7 linked regions of the Sus scrofa genome follow. The protein of the gene in region 1 interacts with the protein of each later gene in a pairwise test. Links are inferred from orthologs where the notes say so. Each region holds a gene or a part of one and is shown in the gene's direction. Other genes may lie near its edges. The genes, in order: PLEKHF2, MBIP, MEAF6, FRMD8, UBE2Z, HSPB7 and LDOC1.

Region 1 (4,302 bases):
GGTCTTCTGCATGTAGAGGAAGAAGGAACTAAATGAAATTGGGGTAGGGTGATGGTTCAGATGAGAATCCTGGGGACATTTACACTTGTCTTCAGAGACAACTATACCTAACAGATGTAAAGTTTTTCTGGTGGTAATAGTCTACGTTTTCCTATTAAAAAAAAATATCGGTTTTGCAGTTTTTTTCTAGTTACTAATTTTATTTAAAAGACTTGCTTGTTTCTGAGATATGGAAAAAGTGAGGATGGGAGGCTGAATACCTGGAGGGGATCCCAGACCAAAAGAAAGTTCCTGCTTATGTATCCCTAGGTGGGTGCTCTTTTATGTGGCTTGGGTGCGGTGGTTCTAATTCAAGAATAATCAAAGGTAAAATATCCTTGAAATAATAGATCAACGGGAAAGATAAAATTTACCCAAGTCTAATTTCTGCCTATACGCTTTCCGTTTGAAGTGAATATTCTGTCTCCTCCCCCCATTCCTCATCTTAGTCATCTTAAACATCTCTCCACGTATCCGTCAGCTCGCTTAGCTGCGTTATAAATGAAGAAGGGCAGGTTTAACCTTATATGGTATCATTACTGTTTTCAGATGTGTGAAGTTGGATGACGTTTGTGGCGTCAGAGAAAAAGTTTTGGAAAGACCAGAGTTCTAAGTCAGGGAATAAGTCATCCATCACTTAAAAGACTGTATGGGGTATGTGTGTTGTAGCCGCAGCTCCCTCTGTTTCAAGTGGTGGGGTCTTAGGAAAAGCCAGTGGAAGATGTGACAGGCAGGAACGCTGTGCTAAAGTGGGAGTAGCAAACAAAAGTCCGCCCAGCTTTTATTTCCCGGCAGTGGAAAGTTCTTGAGTTCCCCTTACAGGCCAGTTCGGTGGTGTGGGAGAGGGGGCCCAGCCTTCCTTCCGTTCTTCCAGCCTCGCTAAGAACTTCGTGGGCAGATGAACAATCCTTTCCAAGGACTTGCCCGCAGCTAGGCAGCCCAGGTAAGACGTCCCACGTGCGCCCAATCGGCTCCAAGGCGCGCGTTCCCACTGAGCACGGAGGAACCAACCCCAGGCCCTGGCTACCCAGGTGGGTGTGGCTTTCGTGGTGGCTCCGCCCCCTCGAGCTCGTCGCGCGGGGCCGCCCGGGCGGGGCGAGGGAACGGGCAAGAAAGGGCGGGGAGCGAGCGGTGTGGGTGTGCTCGTGCCCGCGCTCGCGGCTGGCGTGTGGGTGGCGGCGCGCCCGTGCGCGCGCAGGGGAGAGGCTGTCCCCGGCGGCCGTTGTGGGGTTCGACTGGAGGGGCGGGAGGGTCACCTGCGAGCGGCTTCGACGCCAGCCCGCCGCGTCTGGATCGCGCCGGCTGCGAAACGCTGTTGGCTGCCCACTCTGGGAGGCTGGGGCGGAGGATCGAGCAGAGTCCGCGCCCGGCGCTCGGGACGAGGAGGAGTCGGACCTTTGCCGCCGCCGCCGCCGTCCGCGCCCGGCCGGGTAGGTGAAGCCGGAGTTGGTTGTCCACCGGCCGCCGGCGGGCGGGGAGAGGAGAAGCGAAACTTTCCGGGCGCTTCCCTCCGCGGTCCCCGGCCGTCGGCGGCGCGGGGAGGTGTCGTCGTCTCGGGCGGCGGCGGCCGACGCCATGTTGGGGTCTGTGAGAAACGGGGCGCTCCCGGCCGCTCCCCTCGCCCTGGGGGAGCCGCGCCCGCTCGCAGGACGCCGCCGCCGCTGCGGGAGGGCTCGGGGGCCGCCCGGGGGGCCGTGCCGGTGCTCGTTCTGTCCTCCGGGCCGCGGGGCGGGGGCCGGGCGGACGCGAAGCGGACCCTGAGATCGGGTGAGAAGTTGGGAGGCGCGGGGACTGGGGTCCCAGTCGTGGCCAATGGCATCTTAGGGCCCCAACATCTCTCTGTCCAAAAAGTTTGCAGGGTCTGGGCATCGCGGACGTTGTAATCTGAACAGCGTATTTTTATGTGATTGGCGGCCAAAAATGGCACCGCAGAATTTACCCTGATAGAAGCGTTGGCTCTAACGTCTTACTTACTTGGAATCTTTTAAAAGTTGTATGGTCTTTTGCCCAATTTATTTTTCCTTTATTTTTTAAATTTTTATTAAAGGCCGAGAGCTGCCTCTTCATGTTGCTTGACTATCCTTGTGCGCCCTTAGGACATTGAAGCAGTAACTTGTGAGTGTGCACTGGAAATCGTGGGTAGTATTAAGGTTACAGATAACCAAGTTCTTCTCTGTAATTCAGAGACTCACAAAGTTTGTAAATCGGTAAATACTTTCTTTGTTGTGTTTCAGTACGTCACTGAAGAACAAATTCAGTAAAGAAGGACTTAGACACGAACATTGAGAGACTCAAAGGCATGTGTTCTGTTTAGAATAAGGTGAAGTGATCTTGACATTGCGAGGTTTCCCCCCTCCTTTTGGTTCCTTAAAGGTGCTTGCCTACTGTGTTTTGAGCATTTAGATTTTTCTGTCCTTTGCGAGCTCATGGGGTCCTCAGGTTAATTCGGTATTAAGGAAAGCTTCTATTTTTAATCTCTTTGGGTCCTCACAGCACTGGAGGTGAATGGTATTAAGTTACTTATTTGGAAAGCACATGTAATCGCCTCAAAAAATAAAACTGGTGTACTGACCAAGGCATCAAAAAAGATTCAGCTTGAATCACCCCAGTAAGTGAATGTAAATTACTAGTTTTAATGAAGGCATTTGAGCTTCCAAATTCTGTTAATGAACTGAAAGGACTTTTTAACTACAAATCAGATAAACCCTTAAACATATCTTGGAGAATTTCTCTTATCAATCTTTAGGTAAAAATATAGCTTCGGCTCAGATTTGATCGCTAATTTCCTTAATTCTAGAAGAAAAAAAAAAACCTTTTTTTCCCCACTGTTAGGTAATTGCCATTATATGTATATATTTTTCTGTATGAAGAGTTACCTACAAATAAAGTGATTTAACTAACTTCAAATCTAACAGCCAAACTGGTATTTAAGTGAGATCTTATGACTGAAGCCTTCTCATTTTTCTTACAGCGTAACTGCAGGATATATAACTCATTCCTGTGGAGTAGTCTCTCTCCACCTTGTTTCGTCTGTTAGCTGCTCTTTCTGATTTTAATTTAGTTTCTCAGTATATCTATTTCCTGGAGTATTTCTTAGGAAATCTCAGTTTATGAGAGTTCATGTACTGAAATTATTCCTCCTAAAATTATTCACTCAAGCCTATAGAAGCTCCTTCTGCCCTGTTCTCCTTACCCCATCCTCTTTTTCTCCCCAAGAATAATTCACCTATCTATCCCATTGCATCCCAGTAAATGTATCTGTCATGGCACCTTCTTGACAGCAGGTTTAGGTCAGGTCTGAGTTGCCTCATCATCCCCAGAACATAGCACATGCTCAGGAAAGGTTTGAATGGATAAATACACATGTGTTTCTTGTAAATACGCTTTATGAATTTCTTGTTAAATTGCACTTTCAGGGGCAGAAGAGTTAAATCTTCTCTAACCACCTTTTTTTTTTTTTTTTTTTTTTGAGAATTTACCTTGGCAACTCATTAATTTTGGTCTGGGGGTACAGAACTTGAATGTTTGTGAAATTTCAGAGTAGATATGGACAGAAGGATAAGCAGCAAAGAAACAACAGCTGTGAGTCAACAAAAGGATAATAATCATAATTTAAAAGTGCATCTGGGAGTTCCTGTCTTGGCTCAGTGGTTAATGAATCTGACTAGGAACCATGAGATTGCAGGTTCAATCCCTGGCCTTGCTCAGTGGGTTAAGGATCCGGCATTGCCGTGAGCTGTGGTGTAGGTCGAAGATGCGGCTCGGATCCCGAGTTGCTTTGACTGTGGCGTAGGCCGGCGGCTAGAACTCTGATTTGACCCCTAGCCTGGGAACCTCCATATGCCACAGGTACGGCGCTAGAAAAGGAAAAAGACAAAAAATAAAAATAAAAAATAAGAAAAATAAAAGTGCCTCTGTATTTAGTGTTTATACTACATGGAAATAGAATTAATGCCTACAAATTTTGAAGGTCATGCTTATATATTTAAGCTTTTTGACAGAACAACTCTGATTTCTCTACCAATAATTATTTTGTTAGAATTTGTCTTAGAATTTTGTTTTAGAATGCCTGGCGTAATGGAAAACATGTGAAAATTGCTTTTCTATTTGTAAGTTTATCTTTGAGAACCAGCTTTGTACACCAGCTGCATGCCTAATAGCAGGGTGTATGTTGGCTTAAGTGAATAAAATGGACTTTGTGGATATACTCTCAGAGGGCTGTTTTAAGTTGTGAAACCTCTCCAGGTGAAGGAGTTCTGTAAT
Region 2 (4,346 bases), on another chromosome or scaffold:
TTTCTGGATGTCTCTAGGCATAGGCTGGATTATAAACTCTATATCTTGCTGTGAACAAGGGAGCGGACGAGATTACTTAAGATCCTGTCAAGCCTGCTGATCCTTGGAAATGAAAGCCTAATTAAGAGGCTCCCTAGGGACAGGTCAAAGGCATTCTTTTATCTCTACTGCCCCTAATCCAAGTTCCTTGATGGTTTATTCCTCCCCTTTCATTCAGCCTACTCTAAAACTGAAGAATACACATTGTGCAAGTTTCCAACTCTGCTTCTCCTACTGTAAACGCATTAGACAATTAGAATTAAGAATTTTAAATCTTTCATCCCTCATATCTAAACATGATGTTTATTTTTCAAGTGGTTTTGAATAGAGTTTAACATTAAGCATTCGTCTAAACTTTTTTTTTTTTTTCAATTGGACAACAAAATTTTCAATGCTTGACCCCGGAATACTACAGAGCCCTTCAGATATCTTTTAATACAGTTATCTGGATAAATAATAACTTGTTGAATTTTAATTCGGATTTATCTTTATTTTCAAAGATGGTGTTCACGCAATTACTTATTTGGGTTAAATTCCTGTTGGAATCATGTTGACATTGTTTTCTTTGAAACAGTTTTAGATGAGTGTGTATACCATATCACTCAGAGAACAGCAACTATGCAAGTTTTAAAACTTGACAGAATTATTTTGCAGATTTAAAGTAGTATTCCCTTGATAGTAAATGAGGCATAAAAGAGGGGTATTTTGGGGGGGAGGTGGTTATATCCTCCTCTTTCTCTCATGAAAAAAAAGTGATGTTAAATTGTGTATAGACGAAAATGTTCTACCCAATTATGACAATTCTGTGTGTTTTCAGTGTTTAGAAATATGTGTGGATCCACTGCGTCCCTGACCAGCGATCTTTCTAAAGTGCCGTGGTAAAATCTCAACTTTAATTTGGTACTAAAACTCTAACATTTAACTACAAGTTTTCTCTTAGCAACACTCATAATCAACATCTAAGCGTCAAGCTAAGCTTCAAGAAGCTAACTCTCATTAGATAACGACTCCAAATCACCATCTCAAATATTGCAGCAAGCCAAGCCCAGGTTGGCAATCTCTTGCTCACGGTCCTTGAAGGAATGCTGTAGTTGCACCTTATTGGTGCACATGCTTGTCAGTCATGTAGGGAAGGTGGGGTCTTACAGTCTCGCTCTAAATGAGACGCAGTGTGTTTACATCATCGGGGAGCGACGAAGGCAGGAGAGGGAGGGGTGTGTTGTGAGCACACCTTGGTGCTGGTGGGGGTGGCCTACGAAAGTGTCATGGCTGCCGCCGCTGAGCTTAGTCGCGCGACCCTCGGTGACAGGAGCATGGAGCGGAGCTGCAGCCCCAACCTCTCCCAAGAGGTGGTCTGCGAAGTCTTTCGCTCCTTGCATACCCTTGCTGGACAAGTGAGTGGTGGGCTTTGGGAGTAGGGATCTGGGAACCGTCCGGCCCCTCCCCCTCTCCTTTCTCCGGCGGAGGCGGGGGCGGCGGAGGCCTGCGGGGTGTGGGACCCGGCCCAGAATAGCCGAGGCTGGGGGAGGAGCTCGGGCCCGGCCGCCTGTGGTCTAAGTGAGGCTGGCCGCGCGTGGGTTAGTTCAAGACCGGTTGCAGGCTAGATTTCTTTGCAACTCTTCTCCCCAAGAGCGAATGAGGATAGTGTAAGTGAAACCCCGCTAGGAGAGAAACAAGCTCGAAGAGAATGCGTGCGGAAAAGCTGTGAGGGTTTGGGAGGCGCCTAGCGCTGTGGATCCCTTTTCCTCCAATTCATTCATTATAGAAATTGATAGGTTAGTCTACGGCCTGAGATTTCTGGAAAAGCTCCCTCTCCGCCTTTTTTGGGTGATTTACCGTTAGGAGTCAGTTGGGTTTGTTTATTTCTTCTTTCTTTCTGGCTGTTGCTTGCATCTCTTCCCCTTTCAAAACGGGAAGGAAGAGAAAAGGAATTAATTCAACCACTTCTAGTGTTAAGTTGGATAAGTTATCCCTGGTTTATACTGTTTGCATCACAACTGTTGACAAGTTATTAAATATTAACTAGCTTAACTGGCTGATAAATAGCTTTTGTAGAAATATCATTATAGAATCGAACAAATAAAAGTGCTCTTTACTCTGTTCCAGTGAAGTCACTATTTCGTTTCATGATGTAAGATGTAAAGGAAATTTAAAATGCGAACTTGAAAATACCGTTTGTCTGCTTTTAAAAGGAAATCTTTTTTTAAATCTTAGATAGGATTAGGTATTTGTGTGGAAGATAATGGTAACATCCTTTATGAAAATAGAGCGTTTGATTTGTGAAAATTACTTTTAAAAGCCTTCGGTGGATGGATAATCAGTTTTTTAAAAGGTTATTTCAGTATTTTTAAAAATTCTAATATATTCTGACTTAAAAAGAGTATTACTCAAAATTAAATACACAATTTGGTGTAAGCGAATAATTATCAATAGAATCGGCTAAAAGAGTTGTTTTTCAAGGACTTAAATATTTTTTTGAGACAGGGACATTAATATTTCAGTGTCAAGACTTAAAACCTCTAAATGGTTTAAAAGTTTGAGAACTTTCTATGATGTGACTTTGGAACTTTAAGGTTTTTTTTTTTTTATATCCTAATGTCAAGATGAAAGGTTAATGCTCACCTGTAGTTTACAGACTTCCCCCCACTGATGAGATTTTTTTAAATAACATTAAGAAATAATTTAAACATTTTTGAAACAGTTGGCATACTGAATTTTTAAAACTTATTTTAACATTTTAAACATTCAACTATTCTGTAGGAAAAGTATGATTACAAATTATTTATGTCACCTCAAAAATGTTTAAATATTTGGTGAGTTTTATTGACAGTGAAGGAACCATTTATACAAGTGTTGGGGAAAAAAAATCATCTCATCAATTAACTGCTAGCCATTTTGATAATACTCTATATTTTGAGATGTATAAAGATAAGGATGAAAGCCAGAGTACTATACTTATAAAATTGCCCCTAGTGGGAATCATTATTTTTTTTTTGAAACTGGTTTAAGGAATTTCTTTAACTGTATGTTGTAAAATGCCTAGTTCATTCTATATAGTATCATTGTATTATTAGCTCTCCTCAATAGGAAACATAAAATTGAATGTTTAAACAGTATTTTCTATCCTAGATTTCCAGTTTACTAATTTTAACTTTATTACTTGCCTCTGGATTGTCCATTTTACAAGCTGAAGAGTTATTTATTATTAGCTTGGATTTTCATATTTATAAAGTTTTTACTGAAATGCATATTTTAAATGGTCCATATTAATGGCTGACTTATACATTTTCGAGTGAATGTTTTAGAGTTACAAGTTCTATAGCCTAAAAATGCATAGAATTCATATTACTAATAGGGAATTTGTTGAATAATAATTGAATGTATTGGGATAGTTTTAAAGTTAATTTTTAATGTTGTTATATGGTTTTCTTAAAAGACCAAGTATCTTGAATTTCACTTGAAAGCTTACATAATTCTGCTGTATTGAAATGAGACTATGATCCAAACATAAATTAATTTCTATAAGTTACTATTTGGTAAATTTGTTGCTTTGTCTTGGTTGAGGATTTGCATTATCCCAAAATGTATATATAAATTTGTTATAACCAACTATAGATCTCTTTGGAACTGTGAAAGTATAGTTTACTTTCATACATAAGTTGTTGTCTAACAAAATCTTTATAGGCATTAAATTAATTAAGATTAATGTAGCAATCTTAATGTAAAACTTTAGTTAAATTAATATAAACTCATCTGCTAGTGCAGCCTACACAAAACTTAGTTCCTTATGCTTGTCTGATATGGACTTTAAATATTCCTGGTCAAAGGGTGGAAATTTCTTTCATATAGCATTCAATATAGTGCCTTTGTGGGAACTTCATATCTTTTCAGTTTTTTGTACAGTGATTCATTCATCTTTTTGCTATATTGTAATCACAATTCATAAGATCTATATTTGAACTAAAGTAATATATCTTTATTTTTAGCAAAGATGACTAATTTTAAATAAATGATTTCTGGAAAAATAGGATAGTTAACTTGATTCTGTGATACAGTATATCTTTACAAAATGCTGTAAACACATGTCCCTAGAAAAGTTTATGGTAGTTCTCTTATATACACTTGGAAGGCTTTCCCTCTAAATTTTTCACCCATTTTGATATTAATTTTATATTCAGATTCTTGGTAGTTTTCTGTATATAATTTTATTCTCACAGACATAGCCAATTTATAAGAAATTTTCGTGTAATAAGCCCTCACACTGTACAAGTTAGCAGTAAGTCAGGCCTTTCCATCCAGTCTCTGGC
Region 3 (3,868 bases), on another chromosome or scaffold:
GTGTCAGCAATTACCTCCTAAGAATAAGAACTTTTTTTTTTTTTGTCTTTTGTCTTTTTGTTGTTGTTGTTGTTGCTATTTCTTGGGCCGCTCCCTTGGCATGTGGAGGTTCCCAGGCTAGGGGTTGAATCGGAGCTGTAGCCACCGGCCTATGCCAGAGCCATAGCAACGCAGGATCCGAGCTGCGTCTGCAACCTACACCACAGCTCACGGCAATGCCGCATCGTTAACCCACTGAGCAAGGGGCAGGGACCGAACCCGCAACCTCATGGTTCCTAGTCGGATTCGTTAACCACTGCGCCACGACGGGAACTCCAGAACTTTTTTTCTTACATAACCACTTATTATCATGCCTAGAAAATTAGCACTACATTAATAGTATTATTTCATACACAGTCCTTATTCAGATGTCCCTGATTTGTCCCCCAGATGCATTGCCACCTTTTTTTTTTTTTTTTAATGCAGCTAGTGTTCGTGCATTGCTTTTGGCTGTTATGTCTCTTTAGTCTCTTACTAGGAGCGTCTCTCCCTTTTTGGTGGTGAATTTTTTTATGACATTATCTTTTTTCTTTTTCTTTTTTTTTTTTTGGCCATGCCCTTGGCATGTGAAAGTTCCCAGGCCAGGGATCTAACCCACACTGCTGGTGACAACGCCGGATCCTCAACTCACTGTGCCACAAGGGAACTCCCTGTGACATTATTTTGCAGAATGTTCCAATTCCAGGTTTTTCTTAGTGGGACTTAATGGGAGATCCTTTAAACATTGTTGGCAAAAATGTTAATTACCTATTTGTATACCTCCTGCTGTTTACCTCTATTTTATCAGGAGGCACATGTCAGATTGCCCCATTACTAGTCCCACTAAGTTGGATCATGTGATTTCACCATTGTAAATGTTCATTTTTTTTCTCTTTGTAATTAACAAGTAATTTCAGAGGTTGTATTTTTAGGCAGTGTGAAAATATAGCCCCCTCTAATTTTTATCACTGGTTTTAATATCCATTGTTGATTCTTTTTTTTTTTTTTTTTTTGTCTTTTTGCCTTTTCTAGGGCCGCTCCGCTCCCATGGCATATGGAGGTTCCCAGACTTGGGGTCTAATTGGAGCTGTAGCCACCGGCCTATGCCAGAGCCAAAGCAATTCGGGATCTGAGCCGCTTCTGCAAGCTACACCACAGCTCACGGCAACGCTGGATCTTTAACCCACTGAGCAAGGCCAGGGATCGAACCCACAACCTCATGGTTCCTAGTCGGATTCGTTAACCACTGCACCACGGTGGGAACTCCATCCCATTGTTGATTCTTATCTGAAGCAGTTATTATAATGGAGGTTGCAAAATGATGATTCTGATTTTACTATTTCTTTTCATTTATCACTGGCATTCTGAAAGAAGAGTCTTCCCTTTTTATCTTCTCTCCCTTTCATATTCTGTCTCTAGTGTCACTATAGATACATGGATGATTTATTTATTTATTTACTTATTATTTTAAGGTTGCACCTGCAGCACATGAAAGTTTCCAGGCTAGGGGTCAAATTGGAGCTATAGCTGCTGGCCTATGCCACAGCCACAGCAGTGTGGGATCTGAGCCGCATCTATGACATACACCACATCTCTCTGCAGTGTGATGGAGCCTATGACCCACTGAGCAAGGTCAGGGATGGAACCTGCATCGTCATGGATACTAGTTGGGATCTTAACGCGCTGAGTCACAATGGGAAGGAACTCCCAGGGTTTTTTTTTTTTTTTTTTTAAATCAGTGTATTGGGATCTAGTACTGTCACTTTTTTATTGTGAAGTTTTGTTTTTTAGTATGAATTAATATATTGAAATCTATACAGAGAAGAATTATAGATATACATCTCACCGACTTTTCACGGAGCTGACACATCCATCATTATCCTTTTTGGTGCTTAGTTTGCTCTAAACCTGGCCAAAGGGAGCTGCCGCAGGCTGATTTGTTTGTCTTTCTGACGTGATCCTATTTCTGAGCATTTTGCTGCTTTCTGTTACCTTGTCCTTTTCTCTTTTTTTCTTTTTTTCTTTGTTTTTTTTGGCTGCGCCTGAGCCGCTGTGGTGACAGTGCCAGATCCTCAACCCACGGTACCACAGAGAAACTCCACTTTGTCTTTTTCTTGTCCCAGACCTGATATCAGTCATTTCTCTAAGGAACTCTCGTTCTTTCTTTAAAGTTTTTTTCTTTTTTGGCCGAGCCAAAGCATATGGAGTTCCTGGGCCAGGGATCAGATTGAGGGGCAGTTGCCATCTAGGCCTCAGTGGCGGCAGCGCTGGATCCTTAACCCACTGTGTGGGGCTGGGGATTGAACACCATGGATCTCCTCTTTAAATTTTTTGGTTGTTTGTTTTTTTTTCATCTTTTTAGGGCTGCACCTGGAGCATATGGAGGTTCCCTGGCTAGGGATTGAACCAGAGCTGTAGCTGCTGGCCTGAACCATAGCCACCACAACGCCAGATTCAATTTTTTAAATTAAAGTTATTTAACAGAGATACTTCACATCATTAGTCTGTGCTAGATGTTTTTAATAATAGGTATTAAAATAAATACATATTAAAACAAAAATGATTGTGGGAGTTCCTGTCATGGTTCAATAGAAACAAATCTGACTAGTATCCATGAGGACATGGGTTCAATCCTTCGATCCCTGACCTTGCTCAGTGGGGTAAGGATCCGGCATTGCCATGAGCTATGGTGTAGTTTGCAGTCACACATGAGACCTGGCGTTGCTGTGGCTGTGGCCTAGGCTGGCAGCTACAGCTCTGATTGGACCCCTAGGGAACCTTCATATGCCGAAGGTGTGGCCCTAAAAAGGCAAAATAAAAGAAAATGAAAATGATTGTGAATCTAAAGCAAAAGCCATCTCAATGGAGCACATACAGTAGGTATATTGGAAAGCATTGCTGTCTACTTAGGCATTCAGCATAAATGTCATTTTGGTCAATCCCAGTGGAATGGAGGAGGCATTTTTGTAGGGAACTTGGTAATTAAAAAAAAAAAAAAAATATATATATATATATAGGTGTTTGCCCTAGGGCATCCTCAGCTTGAGCCATAACCAAAGCTTGGTGCTTATAATGAGTTTCTTGTGTGTATTTCAGAAACTCCAATAGCAAAAACGATCGAAGGAACCGGAAGTTTAAGGAAGCGGAGCGGCTCTTCAGTAAATCCTCAGTTACTTCAGCAGCCGTAAGTGAGGCAGGGGGCTCTTTCTGTGCCCATTTTTAAGAAAGACCTCAGTTAAATTTCTCTTTCCCTCCATCTCTGAGTGCTCTCCTGAGGTCTGTGATAATTTTTCTAGTAACTGGTGATGTTTTTCTTTTAGGCAGTAAGTGCATTGGCTGGAGTTCAGGACCAGCTCATTGAGAAGAGTAAGTTTATTTTTTTACTTTTTCATCAATTTTCTTTTGTGTGTGTGTGTGTGTGTCTTTTTTGAGGGCCGCACTCTTGGCATATGGAGGTTCCCAGGCTAGGGGTCAAATCAGAGCTTCAGCTGCTGGCCTATACTACAGCCACAGCAACGGCGGATCTGAGGAAGTCTGCGACCTACACCACAACTCACGGCAACGCTGGATCCTTAACCTACTCCAGCAAGGCCAGGAAGCGAATCTGAGTCCTCATGGATACTAGTCAGGTTCGTTAACCACTGAGCCACGACAGGAGCTCCTCGTCAATTTACTCTTAAGCTACCCTGGCCCTTATGTGTAACTCCTGTCCAGTTGTGTGTCTGAAGACTGCATCTCTTACATTCATGCCTTTTGTTTCTAGAAGTTAGGAACCCTTTTGGGTATCCTTAATCATGCTTTTCTTTTGAGGAAGAAACTACCGTATCCTTCCTGCCTTTTTAGACACACG
Region 4 (3,868 bases), on another chromosome or scaffold:
CCTGCCCTTTGGGGGCAGGAGGGACAGTGGGACCTGGCCTGGGATGCAGCCACCCCTCAGGAGGAGACTTTTCCTGAGGGTGGGGAGGCAGGATGCTTGGGAGCCCAGCTTCTCTGCAGGGGCCTCCAGCGCTGCCTGGTTTGTGGCTGGTGGTCACCCTGTACTGCCCCTTGAGGCTGCCATCCCAAGGCGGGGGTGGAGTGGGCTTGGGGGCTCTCCAGACCCTCAGGCCTGGGGGACAGGGGCAAGGGGGTTGGCGGGGAGCTGCCTGGGGCCTCAGAACAGGGCCGCTAGCCTGCTGGCTTGGGCAGGAAGGGACCAGGGGAGAGGATATTCCGAATGATGTGGGGGCCTGACAAGTTTTCTGAGCTTCAATGTTCTCCCTTGAAGAGGATCAGGGGCCAGAAGGGCCTTGTGCCTCTGCCCTGGGGGAGAATCTTGCTGGCTGGACGGGGGAGGGTGTGCTTGTCTCCCCACCCCCACCCGCCAGTGGGTGCTTCCTGCCCAGCTGCTGCTCTCGCCCACCCTTTTCCTGCTGACCGGTCTCTTTCGGCCGCTCCCCTCCCAGCTCAGCTGCCCCTCCTTCAACCTTCTGGCTGTTGGTCAGGACTGTGGGCCCCTCGGCTTGTGTCTTTGGAAAGCTGGGGGCGAGGGCAGGGGGTTTTGTATGACCGCCCCTGCCCTGCCTCGTGCTCCCTGGCCCTGTCCTGGGCAGCTTCTTTCCTCCCCCACACCCTCCTCTTCACATTCCTGCCCCCCGCCCCGCCGCAAGAACATGAATGGGCTGCCTGTGTAGCTGGTGGGTCGCCCTGGGGCACCGCCCTGTCCAGGAGGCCCCAGCACAGAGTCAGCGCCCACTTTGTTCCCAGGCTGGGTTCAGAAAGGCTGAAAGGCCACCTCAGCTTTGACTCAGGCCCCTCAGAACTCTTGGACCCGCGCCACCCGCAGAGTGGGTGTAGCAGTGACACATGCCCCAGGGCCCAGGGCAAGGGGGTACCATCTGCTGGAGCCGCCCTTCCAGCTAGATGTTTGGGAGGGTTTGACCTTCTCAGTGGCATTGTCACTCTGCACGGAACAGGGCTCCAGGGACTGCCAGTCTCATCCCGGTGACAGACAGCCTCCAGGCAGGAAGGCCCCACCTGGAACTGTGGGACCACAGGGCCGGCGCAGTCGCGGTCTGATCACGGCAGTCCTCTGAGCTGCTGGGGATCCGGGTGTAGGGCTGGTGGGGCTGAGCCATAGGATTGCCCCACATCCTCCTCCCCACCACGTCCCAGGGGTCCCAGCTAGCCCGTCACCTCGTTCATCTCACAAGTATGTGCAGAGCAAGCGCCCCACCCCCCCTCAGGCTGGGCGGAGATCTAGGTGCTGGGGCGGGGGGGGGGTCCGCTGGGAACAGGACTGCAGGTGTCGCTGCCCTCAGGGGACTCAAAGTCTAAAGTTGGTGGTGGGGCAGAGCTCAGTTCCTGGTGGAGCCACTGATTCTGGTGGCCTCAGGCGGACATTGTCCCTCTTTGGGCTTCAGTTTCCCGCCTCTAAAGTGGATGGTCCCCCTGCCTCCCGGCCCGGCGCCCTGTGAGTGTCTAGATGGAGAGAGCACTCGGGTGGCACCGTCCCCTCCTGGGAGCGCTTGGGCAGGGGTGGTGACAGATGGGTGTGGCCGAGGCAATGAGGGCTGCTGGGAACTCTGAATCAGGGAAATGATGGAAGAAAGAGGTGTAAGGGCGGCAGGAATGCAGGGGTCGTAGGCAGGGAGGAGGCCAGTTTGGAGCCTGTGACTGCTGTCCTGGACTAAGGTCAGGGTCCAGGAGTTCCTGTAGTGGCTCAGTGGGTTAAAAACCTGACTAGGATCCATGAGGACACAGGTTCGATCCCTGGCCTCGCTCAGTGAGTTAAGGATCTGGTGTTGCCGTGAGCTGTGGTGTAGGACACAGACACAGCTCAGATCCTGAGTTGCTGTGGCTGTGGTGCAGGCCAGCAGCTGTAGCACCAGTTCAGCCCCTAGCCTGGGAGCCTCCAAATGCCGTAAGTGCAGCCCTAAAAAGCCAAAAAAAAAAAAAAAAAAAAAAAAAAGATCAGGGTCCAGATGGAAGCTCAAAGAACAGAGATGAGCATCCTTAGCATCAGGCTGGCAGGACAAGGCACCCAGCCCTCCGATGTTAGGGGTGAGGGGTAAAGGGGAAGATACAGGTCAGAGGGAAGGGGTGGCTGGTACAGGGTGTGGGTGTTGCCATCGGCTCCTGTGCCCTCGGCAGCCATCCGCATTCATCTCCACATGGACTTAGAGTTGGCCTCAGACCTCCCAGAGGCCAGGGGCACTGCGGCCGTCAGATGAACCTGCTTTGTCCTTCCTGGCCTGGGGCATTCAGCCCTGGGCCAGCTGGCAGCCCAGAGATGAGGGGCTGTGAGTGGTGCAGAGACGGTGAAGTGACCCCCAGTAGTGGTAAAGGAAACCAAAAAAAAAAAGTGCCATTAGTGTGACAAGTAACAGGAAGGGGCTGCCTTAGTTAGGGGTCCAGGGAAAGTGACACTTGAAGCCAGCAAGCCATCGGAGGATCTGGGGGAAGGGTGTCAGCGGCAGAAGGAACTGCATGTGCAAAGGCCCTGAAGCACAAACCAACAGGGACCCTTGGAATGTTGAAAGAAAGCTAGCAAGGCAGGAGCAGAGTGGCGAGGAAGAGAGAGAAGGAAATGCATTTGGGCAGCTGGATGGCATGGTGCCTGTGGGCCGTGGAGATGGGGAGCTCGCAGGATGGAAGGTCAGCTGGAGCCCCCAGGGAAGATGCTGGATGAGGGCTGGCGAAGGAGGGACCCAGGCAGTGCCGGGAGCAGGGAGAACAGCCTCTGGGCCTTTGGGCCTCAGTTACCAGCTTTGGACTCTGCTCCCTAGCGGCAGTTCCGGAGCCATCTGAACTGCCACCCCCAGCTCCTTCCATCTGCCACAGCCTCTCAGCCACACTTGCACTGCAGGGAACAGTCAGAGGCTGGCTCTGACTCCCTCTCACTTGCTCTGTGACTCCTTAACCTCTCTGGGCCTCATTTTTTCCTGTGAAATAAGGGTAGCGTTATTGCAGGGCCAGTGCTGTGAACCGTTGGAAATAGTTCTTTCTGGATGCTTAGTACCTCCTTTGGTTAATACTGGCCACGACTGCCGGCATTGTTGCCGCTGTAAGCGGGCAGCAGTTGCACTGGCTGGGGCTTCACGGCCACGGCTTCATGGCTGCTTCCCTCTCGTCCCCCAGAGGTGCAGCTGAAGCCCAAGCACCAGCCCTACAAGCTGGGCCGCCAATGGCCAGAACTGCTGCTGCGATTCACCGATGCCCCGGACGATGACGTGGCCGTGGGTCAGTGCTGCTACCCGTGCATCCCTGTCCCAGGGGCCCACCTGGGTCTGGAGCAGGTGGTGCTGCCCTGGCCAAGGGGCAGGGCTGGCCTCTCCCACCTGGGTAGGGAGGGATCCCCAGGGGAGCCCAGGAAGGGGTGGGTGGGGGCACAGCGAACACGTTAAAGTAAGCCACACCCCCCAATCTCTGATCAGCCCTCGGGTTTTCTGGGTAAGGGGTGGAGGCGGCTTGGGGACTGGAGACCTGGCCCTCAGGGGAGGGGCTGAGCTGGCAGTGAGCCCCTCTTTTCTCCCCAGATGAGCCCTCCCTGCAATTCCGAAGGAATGTGTTTTTCCCAAAACGGCGGGAGCTCCAGGTGAGGCAAGGAGCCCCAGGCGGTCCCACCCAGGTCCGGTGCTGTGTCCAGCCCCCCTTGGCCCTAGGGCCCTGGACACTGTGCCCAGCCTAGCTGAGTGGCCCCTCCCTGTGCACCGGCCTGCAGATCCATGACGAGGAGGTCCTGCGGCTGCTGTACGAGGAGGCCA
Region 5 (3,868 bases), on another chromosome or scaffold:
TTACTCCTTTCCTCCCTACCTAGCAAAAATATTGGGCTGATTTACTGACAAATTGAATGAAAGTTGACACTGTTGACTTCAATCCTCGAATATGTGAAGCTTCAGAGAGCGCAGAGTCTAGGCTGCCTGGGGGAGCAGAGCTGAGAAGAGAGGTTGAGAGGCACTGAAGCGCAGTCTCTGAGGACCTGACTGCTCCCTGTCACCTGCCGGCCTTTCCTCCAGCCGCCAGGGAAAGGGAAGTGGCCAGTTTACTTGAACGAGCCAGTCCTAGCTCAGGTTGTGTTCAGCTGCCAACTCAGGTGCCAGCTCTTCAGTTGACTGAACTAAAAGTAACCGTCCTTGGGAGTTCCCAGGGGCTCAGCGGTTAACAAACCCCACCCGTATCCATGAGGACTCGGGTTCGATCCCTGGCCTCACTCAGGGGGTTAAGGATTCGGCGTTGCCGTGAGCTGTGGTGTAGGTCGCAGACGCGGCTCGGATCTGGCCTTGCTGGGCCTCCGATTCGACCCCTGTCCTGGGAACATCCGTGTGCCACTAGTGCCTCCCTAGAAGGACAAAAAATTAAAATTAAAATAAATATTCTTAATGTCCAAGCTTCCCTCCTCATCCTAGTGTTCCATCAGGTTTGTGAAAGAAAGGAGCAACTTTTGGTGTTTTTCTGTTGTTGAAGATGTTCCTGTATCATTTTCAAACCCTCCGCAGTCCAGAAGTGCGCCTTATCCCCTTTCTGTCCCTTGGCAGAGTTCTGTCATCTTCAGAGAATCTGATACTCTTTGGGGGCTTGATAGAGAGCTGGATCCCTGATTATCAGCCCCACCACATGGCCTCTAAACGGATAGCTGCGGTCCCTTCTCTGCCTCTGCACTCAGCATCTCTCTCCTCACTGACTCCCTCACCACCCATAAATAACTCTTTGTGATCCATAGAGGTTCACATTTAGACTGCCTTTGGGGCTGTTTTTTACCTTATTTCTTTCATTGCGAAAAAGGGAACCTTCCCTGGCCACTGTTTTTCTTCTAGCCCAAAGAAAATCCCTCCAAAGTTACCTTGCTTGCTTTACCCTCTTTTGTCCCACTTGGTAAGAGGATTAGACAGTTGACTGATTTCTGGTGAATGAGGATGAGCTGGAGGCTGGGAAATTCCAGAGTATTAATAGTGAAAGAGAAAGTGAGTCACTTATGATGGTGCCGCCAGGCCCCAGGATACGTGTGCACTGGTCTTTCTGAATGTCCTTCCCCATCTCTCTCTGCCTCACCCTCTTCCCTTCCCTCTGCTGTGTTTTGCAGTACGTGGACTGGCCCTGCCTGGAGCCCAGCCCAGAGCATCTCTTCTGTGCTCATCTCCATCCAGTCCCTGATGACTGAGAACCCCTATCACAATGAACCCGGCTTTGAGCAGGTAAGGCCAGGTAGGCCTAGCTCTGGGATGCTCAGGGTTGGGTTTTAAGAGATGAAAGGTCTGCTTGAGGGTTTTGGTTTTGTTTTTGACCGGCTCACCCCAATATGCTAAACTCTGTTTTCTCGCTGTTGGAAAAAAAAGAAGTTGGCATGTGTGCTCCTTAATGATGACTTTTTTTTTTCCTTATTAAGTTACAGTAGCATTGTCAACTTATTTCCATTTGACTTGGATTAATCTACCATGTGGAAGTCGATGGAGTCATTTGGAAATTGATTCTGAGCCTGTTTGGGGGGCTGTTGCAGCTAGTGGGTTCTTCTCTTTGCTTCTGTTCTCCAGTGTTGCTTTATTTTTATTTTATTTTTTTGCTTTTTAGGGCCACACTTGCAGCATATGGAAGTTTCCAGGCTGGGGTTTGAACCAGAGCTGCATCTTTCAGCCTCCACTACAGCCACAGCAACACAGGATCCAAGCCATGTCTGTGACCTGCACCACAGCTCACAGCAATCCTCAGATCCTTATCCCACTAAGCAAGGCCAGGGATCGAACCTGTGTCCTCATGGATGCTAGTCAGATTCGTTACCCACCGAGCCACGATGAGAACTCCCTCCAGTATCCCTTTAAAGTGCTCCCTAGTGACTACTGCTTCTTTTGGAGTTATGAAGTCCTGTTATCTGCAGAGCAAAAGGAGCAGTCATTAGCTAGTGCAAGAACATTTTAGTCAGTGCTGCCAAAGAGAAGGTGGAGGAAACTCATATTTTCCAAAGGTGTACTGTATGCCAGCCACTGCCAAGCTTTTATATGTAACATTTCATTTAATCCTCATAGCAACTCTGCAAGATAAATAATTGTCATCCCCATTTTCAAGGGAGGTAATGGTGACTCAGAGAGATTAGTTAGCTTTCACAAGAACAACACAGATCAGGATGTAGTCCTAGGAACCCAAAATCTTTATTGTTCCAAAGCTCCTTCCAGGGTTACTTACTCATGAGCACAGGAAAAGAATTCCACTGGTATTCCCAAATAATAATAATTCCGTTTTGGTGATTAAAACAGCTTAATTCATTTTGAAACTACTTGAGATAACACTAACATTAGTGATTCTTCTATAGATCTAAGCAAAGGGAGATAACCCTTTAAGAACGAGCAAAAATTGGGGTGTGCTCAGAGCAAGAGGCCTGAAGAAATGGCTTCTCTGTTTACAACACACCCAACAGAAACCTGGGTTCGTTGTGACAAGGAACACACAACTCATGGCCTTTCTATAAACAAATACCCAACATGTGTCATTCTCCACCTCCCTCCCGGCCCATCTCCAGATGGCTGCTGTGCAGGATCATTGGGAATGGGCTCAATATTGGAAGAAAATCAGTGGTTGCCAGGAGTCTGGGGAAGATGAGTACTCAGTATACAGAAGCCTTTTAGGAGTTCCCATTGTGGCGCAGTGGAAACGAATCTGACTAGAAACCATGAGGTTGCGGGTTCAATCCCTGGCCTTGCTCAGTGGGTGAAGGATCTGGCATTGCCGTTAGCCGTGGTATAGTTCGCAGACACGGCTCGGATCCTGTGTTGCTGTGGCTGTGGCGTAGGCCAGCAGCTGCAGCTCTGATTCAACCCCTAGCCTGGGAACCTCCATATCCCACAGGTGTGGCCCTAAAAGACAAAAGACAAAAAAGTCTTTTAGAACAGTGAAAGGAGTTTATGTGACGTTATGATGGATATATGTCTTATACTTCTGTCCAAACCATGGACTCTGCAACACTACTCCATTGAAGTGAACGCTAAGAGTTCCCTTCATGGGCTCAGCAGTTAACAAACCCAACTAGCCATCCATGAGGACGTGGGTTCGATCCCTGGCTTTGCTCAGTGGGTTAAGGATCCGGCGTTGCCACGAGCTGTGGTGTAGGTCACAGGTGTGGTTCAGATCCCTCGTTGCTATGGCTGTGGCGTAGGCTGGCAGTTGCAACTCCAATCGGACCCCTAGCCTGGGAACCTCCATATCCCTCGGATGTGGTCTCAAAAAAAAAAAGTCAACGCTAAGGTGAATCATGGACCTCGGTGATTGTGATGTGTCAGTGTAGTCCCTTGGCTTAAAAACAAAAGTGCCGGAGTTCCCGTCATGGCGCAGTGGTTAACAAATCCGACTAGGAACCATGAGGTTGTGGGTTCGATCCCTGCCCTTGCTCAGTGGGTTAACGGTCCGGCGTTGCCATGAGCTGTGGTGTAGGTCGCAGGCAGGGCTCGGATCCTGCGTTGCTGTGGCTCTGGCGTAGGCTGGCAGCTACAGCTCCGATTCGACCCCTAGCCTAGGAACCTCCATATGCCGTGAGAGCCCCCCCCCCCCCGCAAAAAAAAAACAAAACAAAAGTGCCACTCTGGTGAATGGTGTTGAGAATGGTTATGCATGTGTAGGGAGGGGATATATGGGGAGTTTCTGTACCTTTGTCAATTTTGTTGTAAACCTAAAACTGCT
Region 6 (4,544 bases), on another chromosome or scaffold:
CTTCCTGGCAGCTCTCCTGGAAGCCCCCTTGGCCAGAATGGGTGACACAGGCCAGGCAGGAATCTCCACTGTGGGACAGACCCCTCTTGCTCCAGCTCCACCCTGGCCCCACCTCCTGGACCATCAGCTCCAGTAATTACCCCTGGAGATGGAGTTCTGTGGGAGCCAGAGAGAAGAGGGACACTCCCCCCTTCAGGGACCCCCAGCCTAATGGGGAGACAGGCAGGCCCCCGCCCCAGGGAACTGCCAGTCTGACAGGGGAGAGAGGTCACGGCAGAGGACACAGGAAAACCACGCCACACTCAGGTGCCAGGCTGGGCAAACATTGCCAGTACGTCAGACATCTGGGCAGGACCCCCTGTGTGGGCTGAAGCCATCCGAGAGGCCTCCCTGGGGGAAGAGGAACCAGAGCTGATCTGGGGAGGAAGGGCAGGATTTGGAGAGAAGAGCAGAGGCCCCAGGAACCTCCCAGAATAGCCCTCCCCCGCTTCACCCCTTTGGTCCTGCATGATGTCAATCCTGGCTCCACTGGTCCGTGGGTGGGCACAGGAGGGGCTTCTCAGGGTGTTCCAGGCCAGCCAGGCTCCCTACATGAATATTCAGGTCACCCTGGCCTCCTGGAGAGTTTGGATCAAACACGTTTGTGTTCAAATCCCAGCTCTGCCCCTTACCCACGTGCAAGCCCCAGGCTCTCTGTGAGGCTCCATTTCCCTGTCTGTAAAATGGGAAGAAAGAACATCCCCTTCCCAAGAAGGGAGAGGATCAGATGAGGCCCACCTGGAGCCTGGGCCCAGCAGGCACCTCAGGAGTCACAGCTGGAACCACTGTCTTGTGGGGGCCTCCTTCCCCTCTCTCTGCTGAAGCCCTGCCCCCTGCCACCCCCCACATCTCCCCTGAGCTGGAGGTCAAGCGGACCATTCCTAGGAATGTAAGTTTTTAGGTTGCTACCAACCTTTACAGAACTCTCTGCTCTCCTCCCCTGGGTCCAGCCCAACCACCAGCCCTGCCTGAGCTTTCTCGTCTTGGGTCCGTTAATGTTTCCAGAGTCGGGGGGAGGGGGAGGGGGGACAATTATGAAATCTGGGTCCCCGGAGGGGCTGCCAGGGCAACAGTGGCACCTTCTCCACCCCCTCCCCCAACTCAGGGCTGTCTCCGTCCTTCCTAAGAGATGGCTGTGAACATCGCCTGTCCTGCAGGATGAACCCCTCACCTCCCACAGGGGTCCAGCAGGTGGGGGTCCTCTACGCCCCTCTGACCTCTTGACTTGCATTTCCTGTCCTCCCCAGAGTCAGAGGCTTGGGCCCCTCTGTCCTGATCACCTGCCACCCAGATCCCTCTCACCAAGGGCTAGAACTCTGGGGGAGACAGGACAGGAAAGAGAGAAAACCATGTCTTCAAGGAGCTTGCCGTCTGATGGGGGAGACAGAGACAGAAAGCCTGCACACACAAGGTCCCGGGGCAGGGGGGCAGGGGTCTGAGTGGCAAGGGAACAGCATGGGCCCCCACCTCGTTGCCCTGGGAGGCCCCCCATGCGGAGTTATCAGCCTGGAATGCTGGACTGTGAGCTCAGCCTCACAGGCAGCCTGGGCCGAACTGTCAGCAGGGCCGTCTCACTGGAGAAGATTTCCAGCTCCTCTGGGCCATGGAGAGGACTAAATTTAGCTGGTAGACAAGGGGCTGGCCCTGCGCCCAGGGACGGTCGGGCCTTATAAAGCACCGCCGGCCAGGGCCCCGCATGCTCCCCCAGAGCTGGCTGTCCGCACCCTCTCCTGTCCGCCCCTGCGCCCAGCCCGGGCCCGGCCGCCTGCCCGTGGATGAGCCACAGGACTTCCTCCACCTTCAGAGCGGAGAGAAGCTTCCATTCCTCCTCTTCTTCCTCCTCCTCCTCGTCCTCCTCGGCCTCCCACACCCTCCCGGCCCAGGACCCACCCATGGAGAAGGCCTTGAGCATGTTTTCCGAGGATTTTGGCAGCTTCATGCGGCCCCACTCAGAGCCCCTGGCCTTTCCAGGCAAGTGCTTGGGGGCGCTGTGGGGGAGGGGAGGCACACGGGGGAGGGGACACCTGCTCCAGGCCACCACCCCATGCAGCTGCGGCTGCTGAGCTGCTAGGAACAGGTGCTGCACAGCTGCAGGGCCACCAGGACAGATGTGGCCCCAGGCAGGCCTCCCAGGAAGCGCTCTGGCCTGGGGGTCAGCTAAGGTGCCAAGGGCCAAAGGCCCTGTGGCCAGGCCCTCTCTGGAGCCCCGGAGAGCTGCATGTGTTGGGGGGGCGGGCAAGGTGCATCCCCAGTCCAGGCCTGGGACGAGTGGCTATGGACAGTGTCATATACCGGTGCCGAGTAAGGCCCTTCCCCACCTTGGGAGAGGTGGCTTTCGAGAAATGAGGAGGGACGGCCAGGGCAGCTGAGGAGCCACAGTTGAGAGGGAGGTCAGGCCTGGGGGGCCGCCCCTTCCCCAAGGAGAAGGAGCCAGAAACCTTCCTCCTGGGTGCCAGCCTGCCCTGTGCTCAGCTCACAGCAGCCCTCCCCACAGCCCGCACCGGGGGGCCTGGCAACATCAAGACCCTGGGCGATGCCTACGAGTTTGCAGTGGACGTGAGTGACTTCTCACCTGAAGACATCATTGTCACCACCTCCAACAACCACATTGAGGTGCGAGCTGAGAAGGTGAGCCCGCCCCCTCCCCTAAGACTGGGGGCTCCGCACAGGTACCTTCTGTCCAGCATCCCCACTCTCATGTCCCATCCTGGGACCTTGCACCCTAACCAGTGCCCCCTAAAACTTCAGGACAAACTGGGGGCCTTGCTCCTGTAGCCACGGGGCCCCCTTTACTGCCGCTCTCTGCCTGGAGGCTTCCAGATCCTCCTTTAAATTTTATTTTATTTTTGAAGTGTAGCTGATTTACACTGTTGCATTCCCAGATCCTTTCTTCAGGAGCCCAGGGCAGCAGAAGAAGCCACAGGGGATGGGGGGCGGCGGGAGGAGGCAGAGGGTGGGGCACCTGAGGCTGGGAGGAGAGGGGAGGTGAGAGGAGGTGAGAGGTAAGAAGGGGAGGTGAGAGGAGGTGAGAAAGGGAGGTGAGAGATGAGGAGGTGAGAGGTGAGAAGAGGCAGGAGAGATGAGAAGGGGCAGTGAAAGATGAGAAGGGGAGGTGGAGTTCCCGTCGTGGCGCAGTGGTTAACGAGTCCAACTAGGAACCATGAGGTTGCGGGTTCGATCCCTGCCCTTGCTCAGTGGGTTAACGATCTGGCGTTGCCGTGAGCTGTGGTGTAGGTCTAAGATGCAGCTCAGATCCCACGTTGCTGTGGCTCAAAAAAAAAAAAAAAAAAAAGAGAGAGAGAGGGGGACGTAAGAGGAGGTGAGAGATGAGAAGGGGGGGTGAGAGGAGAGCTCTTCCCTCAGGTGTGTGGTCAGGTGGGGGGCTCACCTGGGCGGCTAGGGGGAAGGAGCTCCCCCATGGGACAGCCCTCAAGCCGTCTTCCCTCTTGGACCCCAGAATGGAGCTCAAGGCTAGGCAGCAGCCCTGCAGTTCAAGGTCACACACACTCCAAACCCCACAATTCTTCTGCCCATGGATCTCAGGGTCACTGTGTCACTAGGGCCTCTACGTCCTAACTCCCAGGAGACTTGCACCCTCGAGGAGGGTGTGGCCCTGGCTGAGGAGGGGGGCTGCCCCCAGCGGGTTAGAGCCACAGCTGCTCCTTAGAGAAGAGGGTAGGCCCAAAGCTACCCCACCGGACAGCCCAGCTTCTTTCTCCAGCATGGGAGGATGCCCTGCACCTCCATCGGGGAAGCCAGGGACTATGGGCACCAGGACCAGTGGGCAGCATGTGGCAGCCCTGCCACCCCCACCAGTGACTCAGCCGCCCCAGGCTCTTCTGGACACCATGTGCTGGCTGGGTCGTGGGGGAGGGGCTGCCAGCCCAGCCCCGGAGGTGGACACCAATGTGTCTGGGTATCCAGGAGGGCTCGGCTCTGCTCTGTGCCTTCTCCTGTCACACAGGAGCCCCAGATTCTGCCACCAAGCCTCCTCTCCTTCGGAGCTCCCCCACCAACCCCTTGCCTTTCCCCTGGGACCACTGGAGCGCCGCTGAGCATCTTTGCGCCCATCCTACCCTGGCCAGCCCCTAGGCAGGGCCTCTGCACCTAAGAGCAGAACCTCTCAGCACATGGGAGCCCAGCTGGGGTTAGACGGCGCAGCCGGGGCTGCGGCCTGTCGTGAGCAGTACAAGGGTGGGGGCCAGCCTGCCCTGACCCATCACCCCTTCCCCAGCTGGCAGCTGACGGCACCGTCATGAACACCTTTGCTCACAAGTGCCAACTGCCAGAGGATGTGGACCCCACATCGGTGACCTCGGCCCTGCGGGAGGACGGCAGCCTCACCATCCGGGCCCGGCGCCAACCACACACGGAGCACGTCCAGCAGACCTTCCGGACGGAGATCAAAATCTGAGGGCCCTCCCCTCCCCGGCCCTGCCCCCACCGCCCTCTCCTCTCCCCCACTGGGCTGCTAGAGAGGCTTTCCTGCCCCCCTTGTGACAGCT
Region 7 (4,522 bases), on another chromosome or scaffold:
AACATCTGCACCCTGAGATTCCTTTATCCACCAAACCCTTATGAAGCTTCTACTCTGGGCCAGGCACTTTTCTTGCATTAGTGATAGAGCAACCAACAAAGCAAAGCCTCTGTCCACACAGACATTTTAAAGGGGAAGCTGACCTATAAACAAAGTGCTATGTGATATGATGGCTGTTAGTAGGATAAATGCTATGTAGAGAAATGAAGCAAGGCAAACGTTAGAGGTTACTGGCAGAGAGTGGGGTGCTCTGATAGATGAGGTAGTTAGGAAAGTCCGCTTTGAAAATGGAGGAAGAGTCAGGCAGTAAAACCAGGAGAACATTCTGAGGCAAAAAAGAAAGTACAAAGATCCTGAGGCCAGAGCCACTCAGTGTGTGTGAGCCTCAGCAAGAAGGACAGTGTGATGACAGCAGAGCAGGAACTGGGACAAGGCAAAGGGAGTGAGGCAGGGCTTGATAGGCCATTACCGAGACTTTGGTTTTTATTTTGAGCGAAGGGGGAAAAACTATTGGAGGGTTTTGAGCAGGAAAGTAAAGAGATCTAATGTTTGTCCTAAAGGATTCCTATATCTACTCTGGAGTATGTATATAATACACACACACACACACACAACTTGAGGAAGAGAAGAGTGGAAGCTAAGTGATGAGCTGCAACAGTCTGTGTGAGAAAGGAGGGCTGGCCTTAGGGTGGTAGTGCTGTTTAGAGATCCCCAGGTAATTAAACTGCTGATATATTTAAAAAGCAAAGCTAAAAAAATATATTGGCCCCAAGGTCCTCACCCTGACTTATTTGTCAACTATTTGAATAATCACATTCAAAGTAGAAAACAAAACTATTTTAAAAACACATGTGTTCATTGTTAAGCAAAGAACAATAACCAGTAGTAGGACATGAAATAGAGTCAAAGATAGGCAGGACTCATGCAAATGGTGATTGGATACTAACTTTTGCAGAACTTTTTACACTTTGCTATTTAAAAGTAATTTTAAACAAAAGGATAGAGGTACACAATATTATTTTACAACTAAAGAAAAACCTCTTTTTAAGTATTACTTTGTCATGAAAGACAGGACTCCTGAACGTCTTTCATAACTCTTAAAGGATGTGACTCCTGCGGTGCAGCCAGAATTGCTAATAGTTCTCTGAGTGAGGGAGATTTAAACACGCAAAGAAATGTGTTAAAACCACATAAATGGAATCTGGTGGCCACAGACCCACCGAGGAACATTGAGTCGTTTGGGTTGAAGGGTGGTTAATCCTTTAAACTTGAGCAGGTTAACCCTCTCTGGGAGATGGATCTTAGCGTTTGCTCGGCCTTGGCTAAGGCCTGGCCCGCATCTAGGGCTGGATCTCCCCCCACTGCCTTTATCCACGGGCCGGGAGAACTGCGAGCCAGCAGCCCGAGACCCTGCCCGCCTCCTTGCCTGGCCACGCCCTCCCTCTGTCCGCTCCACTCTGGCCACGCCCCTCCTTTCTCCAGTGCCCGCCTCCCTCCAAGCGGGCGGCGCCGGCGTGCCGGCCGTCAGAGCCGCTGTGTGGGTGGAGCTTGCGCAGCTGCCGGGACCCCTGCGCGCACCGCCTCTCGCCCCTGGCCGCCGCGCGCCTCCGCGGACACGCACTTCCTGCAAGGCCTCCTTGCTCACCTTAGCCGATCCGAACCGAGCTGAGCCCATTCTTGCTCTTACAAGCTGTTCGCCATGGTGGACGAGCTGGTACTGCTGCTGCACGCGCTCCTGATGCGGCACCGCGCCTTGAGCATCGAGAACAGCCAGCTCATGGAACAGCTGCGGCTGCTGGTGTGCGAGAGGGCCACCCTACTGCGCCAGGTACGTCCGCCGAGCTGCCCGGTGCCCTTCCCCGAAACGTTTAACGGTGAGAGCTCCCGCCTCCCTGAGTTTATCGTGCAGACGGCGTCTTACATGCTCGTCAACGAGAACCGGTTCTGCAACGACGCCATGAAGGTGGCATTCCTAATCAGCCTGCTCACCGGGGAAGCCGAAGAGTGGGTGGTGCCCTACATTGAGATGGATAGCCCCATCCTAGGTGATTACCGGGCCTTCCTCGATGAGATGAAGCAGTGTTTTGGCTGGGATGACGACGAAGAAGACGACGAAGAAGATGAAGAAGCTGATTACTAGGCCGGGAGACCCTCGGGCCTAGGGGGGTGGGCCCTGCACGCCGCCACCACCCCCCGCCCCGCTTCGCTCCTCCCGGAGCCGCGACACTTCCCTCGCTCCCTATCTGCTTCCCTAGTCTTCCTAGTCTTCGCTCTGGTTCTCTTCCTTATTCACCGCTCCCCCCCCCCCCCCCCCCCCCCCGTAGTGTTTGTCTTTGTTCTGGGAATAGTGCTACAGTTACCTGCTGCTGGGGCTGGGGCCTCTCTGAAGTGCGCTGCCTCCCACTCAGGCCAGTCCCAGGGCCCAACCCTGCTAATTTGAACTGTGTTCTGAGCCCCAACTATAGGGCAGACTGTTACAAACTGGTCAGACTACCCACAGCCCTGCCGATTGTCAGGCCTACATCTGCCCAAAGACCGACGCTGCCACCTAACCAACCTCCATCACATTCCAGCGACAGACAGACCAGGCCTTTGGAGACAAGGACCAACCTAGAAGATGCTTTTAGTTGGCTATACCACCTGGGACATTGATTTGGACTGCTCACGCCCACCCCACCCCCCCACGAGGGGCGAATCTTTGCACCTGGTTCGTTCCCTCCTTTCCTAACTCATAGAGTCTTCTCCTGCCTCACCAGGTTGCTGCAGGGGCCCGTTGTGCCTGGCAGCCAAATTATTGACATTTCTCTTATGCACCAGTTTTGCACAACTGTCATTTTTCTTTTAAAACTGAAGCAGTCCCACAGCTGTGTGCATTTGGACAAAAATACTAAAAACAAAAACCAGACAGACAAAAGCAGGTACTCAGCCCAGCTCCTCAATACTACATAGAAAAAGCATTTGCATTCTTTTCAATAAATATCAAGCACTACGGAAAAAAAAGAGCGTCTTTTAATGGTTAAGTGCTATCATTGGCCTTTGCCACTCTCACCCTGACTCCCATTATTCCTACTGATATCAGAGAGCCTAGTTCAATCCCATTATTCTCTACTGTCATGTCTGGGCAATAGAGGACTGCTACTACAGAGCTTTATAGGGAAACTGGTGCTCCCCTCACCAAGGCACTTTTTAAAGCCCTGGTGAAGTGAGTGTCCTCTGGGGCTTCCAGGATGGGATGAATAAGGGGTAGTTGAGTAGATGGCACACCATCCCAAACTGGGACACTCGAGAGAAAAAGGGGGCACTATTACTAATCGGAATGGGACAATAGGCGTACATCAGGGCACATACCATATTCCTGTCTTCCTGAGCTTTTGGGTTCTTTCTCAGCCCTGCCAGGCAAGTGCTGCCTCTTAACTCTTATTCCTTGCAGGGTGCTGTTTGAGTTCAGGCTTCCATAAACAAGGTAGCACATTGTTTCAATACCGATTTTAGATGCTTGAGCTAATGTTAAATCCTGAGTCCTGGGTAAATGCACCCATAAGTGGAGCCAGATTTTAATGTTTCATCCTCCTTGGGCAGATAACCCTTAAGATCCCCACCCATCTGTGTGCCCCAGATTCCTGCCTGTAGAAATCGACAAGATGCCTGGCTATCTCCCATACTAGATCTTGTAATGCTGTCTGAGCTGTGCTGAGATCTTTTTGTGGGCCTGGAGGGCTGGAGGCCCTAAGGGAGTGGGGTGAGTGCTGAGAATAATCTCTACTTTTGTGAGCCCATAACCCCAGGTTAAGTCTTTGAAATGTTAAATCAGGGAAGCCTGATTAGGGGATTTGTGGGGCCTATCGCTGCCAGCCAGGAACTGTCAGGAGGATTTGAGGGGTTCAGAATTCTGATTCTTACATGTATCTGCCCAGATGTCTTCTGTACCATGCCGGGAACCAGCCCTACTTTAGAACCTCTAATTTAGATAATAAAATTCCTTCTTGTTTAAGACCTTTTGATGCTGAGTGTTTTATTTGTACCAATAAACCTTACATTGTGGGTTCAATGAGATACAGGGAACAGGTCTCTTGCTGTTGAGCTGGGCTTCAGTAGGAAGGTGTTAGGAGTGAACAGGAGCAGAATAAGCTCAGCAGAGAGAATGGAAATGAGAGCATGACAAGAGTTCATTTTTACTCTTTGGGATCTGACATGAAGTCAGATAGAAAACCAGTTTACTTGGTGAACAGACAAAGTCTAGAGCAAGAGTCATCTTTTGGACCTAAGAAAGTTGTTTCTGTAGGGTGGGGACAGGGGTAGATAGGACTTAGCAAAGGAGGTTGAGGCCCAAACAGTAGATGTGGGGAAGTGTTGGGCCAGAGCTGAAAGCAGGTAAGGGACCCAGCAGGGCCAAAAACCATTCAAAATAATCAGTGGTCCAGGTAGACTTAATGGAGTTAGAGATACAGTGGGCAAAGAAAGGCAATGCTTGCCCTCATGGTGATTCCAGGTTGTTGCTTTTATGGTGCCTTTGGTCAGACTT

The links.
Region 2: the proteins of PLEKHF2 (region 1) and MBIP interact in binary tests that used the Homo sapiens proteins (3 or more experiments, as listed by UniProt). The two-hybrid records come from large-scale screens. The link is inferred for Sus scrofa from reciprocal best matches to the Homo sapiens genes PLEKHF2 and MBIP.
Region 3: the proteins of PLEKHF2 (region 1) and MEAF6 interact in binary tests that used the Homo sapiens proteins (3 or more experiments, as listed by UniProt). The two-hybrid records come from large-scale screens. The link is inferred for Sus scrofa from reciprocal best matches to the Homo sapiens genes PLEKHF2 and MEAF6.
Region 4: the proteins of PLEKHF2 (region 1) and FRMD8 interact in binary tests that used the Homo sapiens proteins (3 or more experiments, as listed by UniProt). The two-hybrid records come from large-scale screens. The link is inferred for Sus scrofa from reciprocal best matches to the Homo sapiens genes PLEKHF2 and FRMD8.
Region 5: the proteins of PLEKHF2 (region 1) and UBE2Z interact in binary tests that used the Homo sapiens proteins (3 or more experiments, as listed by UniProt). The two-hybrid records come from large-scale screens. The link is inferred for Sus scrofa from reciprocal best matches to the Homo sapiens genes PLEKHF2 and UBE2Z.
Region 6: the proteins of PLEKHF2 (region 1) and HSPB7 interact in binary tests that used the Homo sapiens proteins (3 or more experiments, as listed by UniProt). The two-hybrid records come from large-scale screens. The link is inferred for Sus scrofa from reciprocal best matches to the Homo sapiens genes PLEKHF2 and HSPB7.
Region 7: the proteins of PLEKHF2 (region 1) and LDOC1 interact in binary tests that used the Homo sapiens proteins (3 or more experiments, as listed by UniProt). The two-hybrid records come from large-scale screens. The link is inferred for Sus scrofa from reciprocal best matches to the Homo sapiens genes PLEKHF2 and LDOC1.

Annotation. Positions count from the first base shown.
Region 1 is NC_010446.5:41,531,948-41,536,249, reverse strand, and holds the start of PLEKHF2 (pleckstrin homology domain-containing family F member 2), read left to right. Parts: upstream 1-1,317; 5' UTR 1,318-1,469; intron 1,470-1,721; exon of another isoform or gene 1,722-1,806; intron 1,807-4,302. UniProt on the Homo sapiens protein: May play a role in early endosome fusion upstream of RAB5, hence regulating receptor trafficking and fluid-phase transport. Enhances cellular sensitivity to TNF-induced apoptosis.
Region 2 is NC_010449.5:63,658,004-63,662,349, forward strand, and holds the start of MBIP (MAP3K12-binding inhibitory protein 1), read left to right. Parts: upstream 1-1,219; 5' UTR 1,220-1,304; coding exon 1,305-1,433; intron 1,434-4,346. UniProt on the Homo sapiens protein: Inhibits the MAP3K12 activity to induce the activation of the JNK/SAPK pathway. Component of the ATAC complex, a complex with histone acetyltransferase activity on histones H3 and H4.
Region 3 is NC_010448.4:93,582,271-93,586,138, reverse strand, and holds part of MEAF6 (chromatin modification-related protein MEAF6), read left to right. Parts: intron 1-3,114; coding exon 3,115-3,202; intron 3,203-3,338; coding exon 3,339-3,384; intron 3,385-3,868.
Region 4 is NC_010444.4:6,837,169-6,841,036, reverse strand, and holds part of FRMD8 (FERM domain-containing protein 8), read left to right. Parts: intron 1-3,242; coding exon 3,243-3,344; intron 3,345-3,640; coding exon 3,641-3,699; intron 3,700-3,825; coding exon 3,826-3,868. UniProt on the Homo sapiens protein: Promotes the cell surface stability of iRhom1/RHBDF1 and iRhom2/RHBDF2 and prevents their degradation via the endolysosomal pathway. By acting on iRhoms, involved in ADAM17-mediated shedding of TNF, amphiregulin/AREG, HBEGF and TGFA from the cell surface.
Region 5 is NC_010454.4:25,128,245-25,132,112, forward strand, and holds part of UBE2Z (ubiquitin-conjugating enzyme E2 Z), read left to right. Parts: intron 1-1,286; coding exon 1,287-1,398; intron 1,399-3,868. UniProt on the Homo sapiens protein: Catalyzes the covalent attachment of ubiquitin to other proteins. Specific substrate for UBA6, not charged with ubiquitin by UBE1. May be involved in apoptosis regulation.
Region 6 is NC_010448.4:75,172,085-75,176,628, reverse strand, and holds the start of HSPB7 (heat shock protein beta-7), read left to right. Parts: upstream 1-1,710; 5' UTR 1,711-1,814; coding exon 1,815-2,010; intron 2,011-2,533; coding exon 2,534-2,667; intron 2,668-4,273; coding exon 4,274-4,453; 3' UTR 4,454-4,544.
Region 7 is NC_010461.5:115,579,137-115,583,658, forward strand, and holds LDOC1 (protein LDOC1), read left to right. Parts: upstream 1-1,485; 5' UTR 1,486-1,699; coding exon 1,700-2,140; 3' UTR 2,141-3,993; downstream 3,994-4,522. UniProt on the Homo sapiens protein: May have an important role in the development and/or progression of some cancers.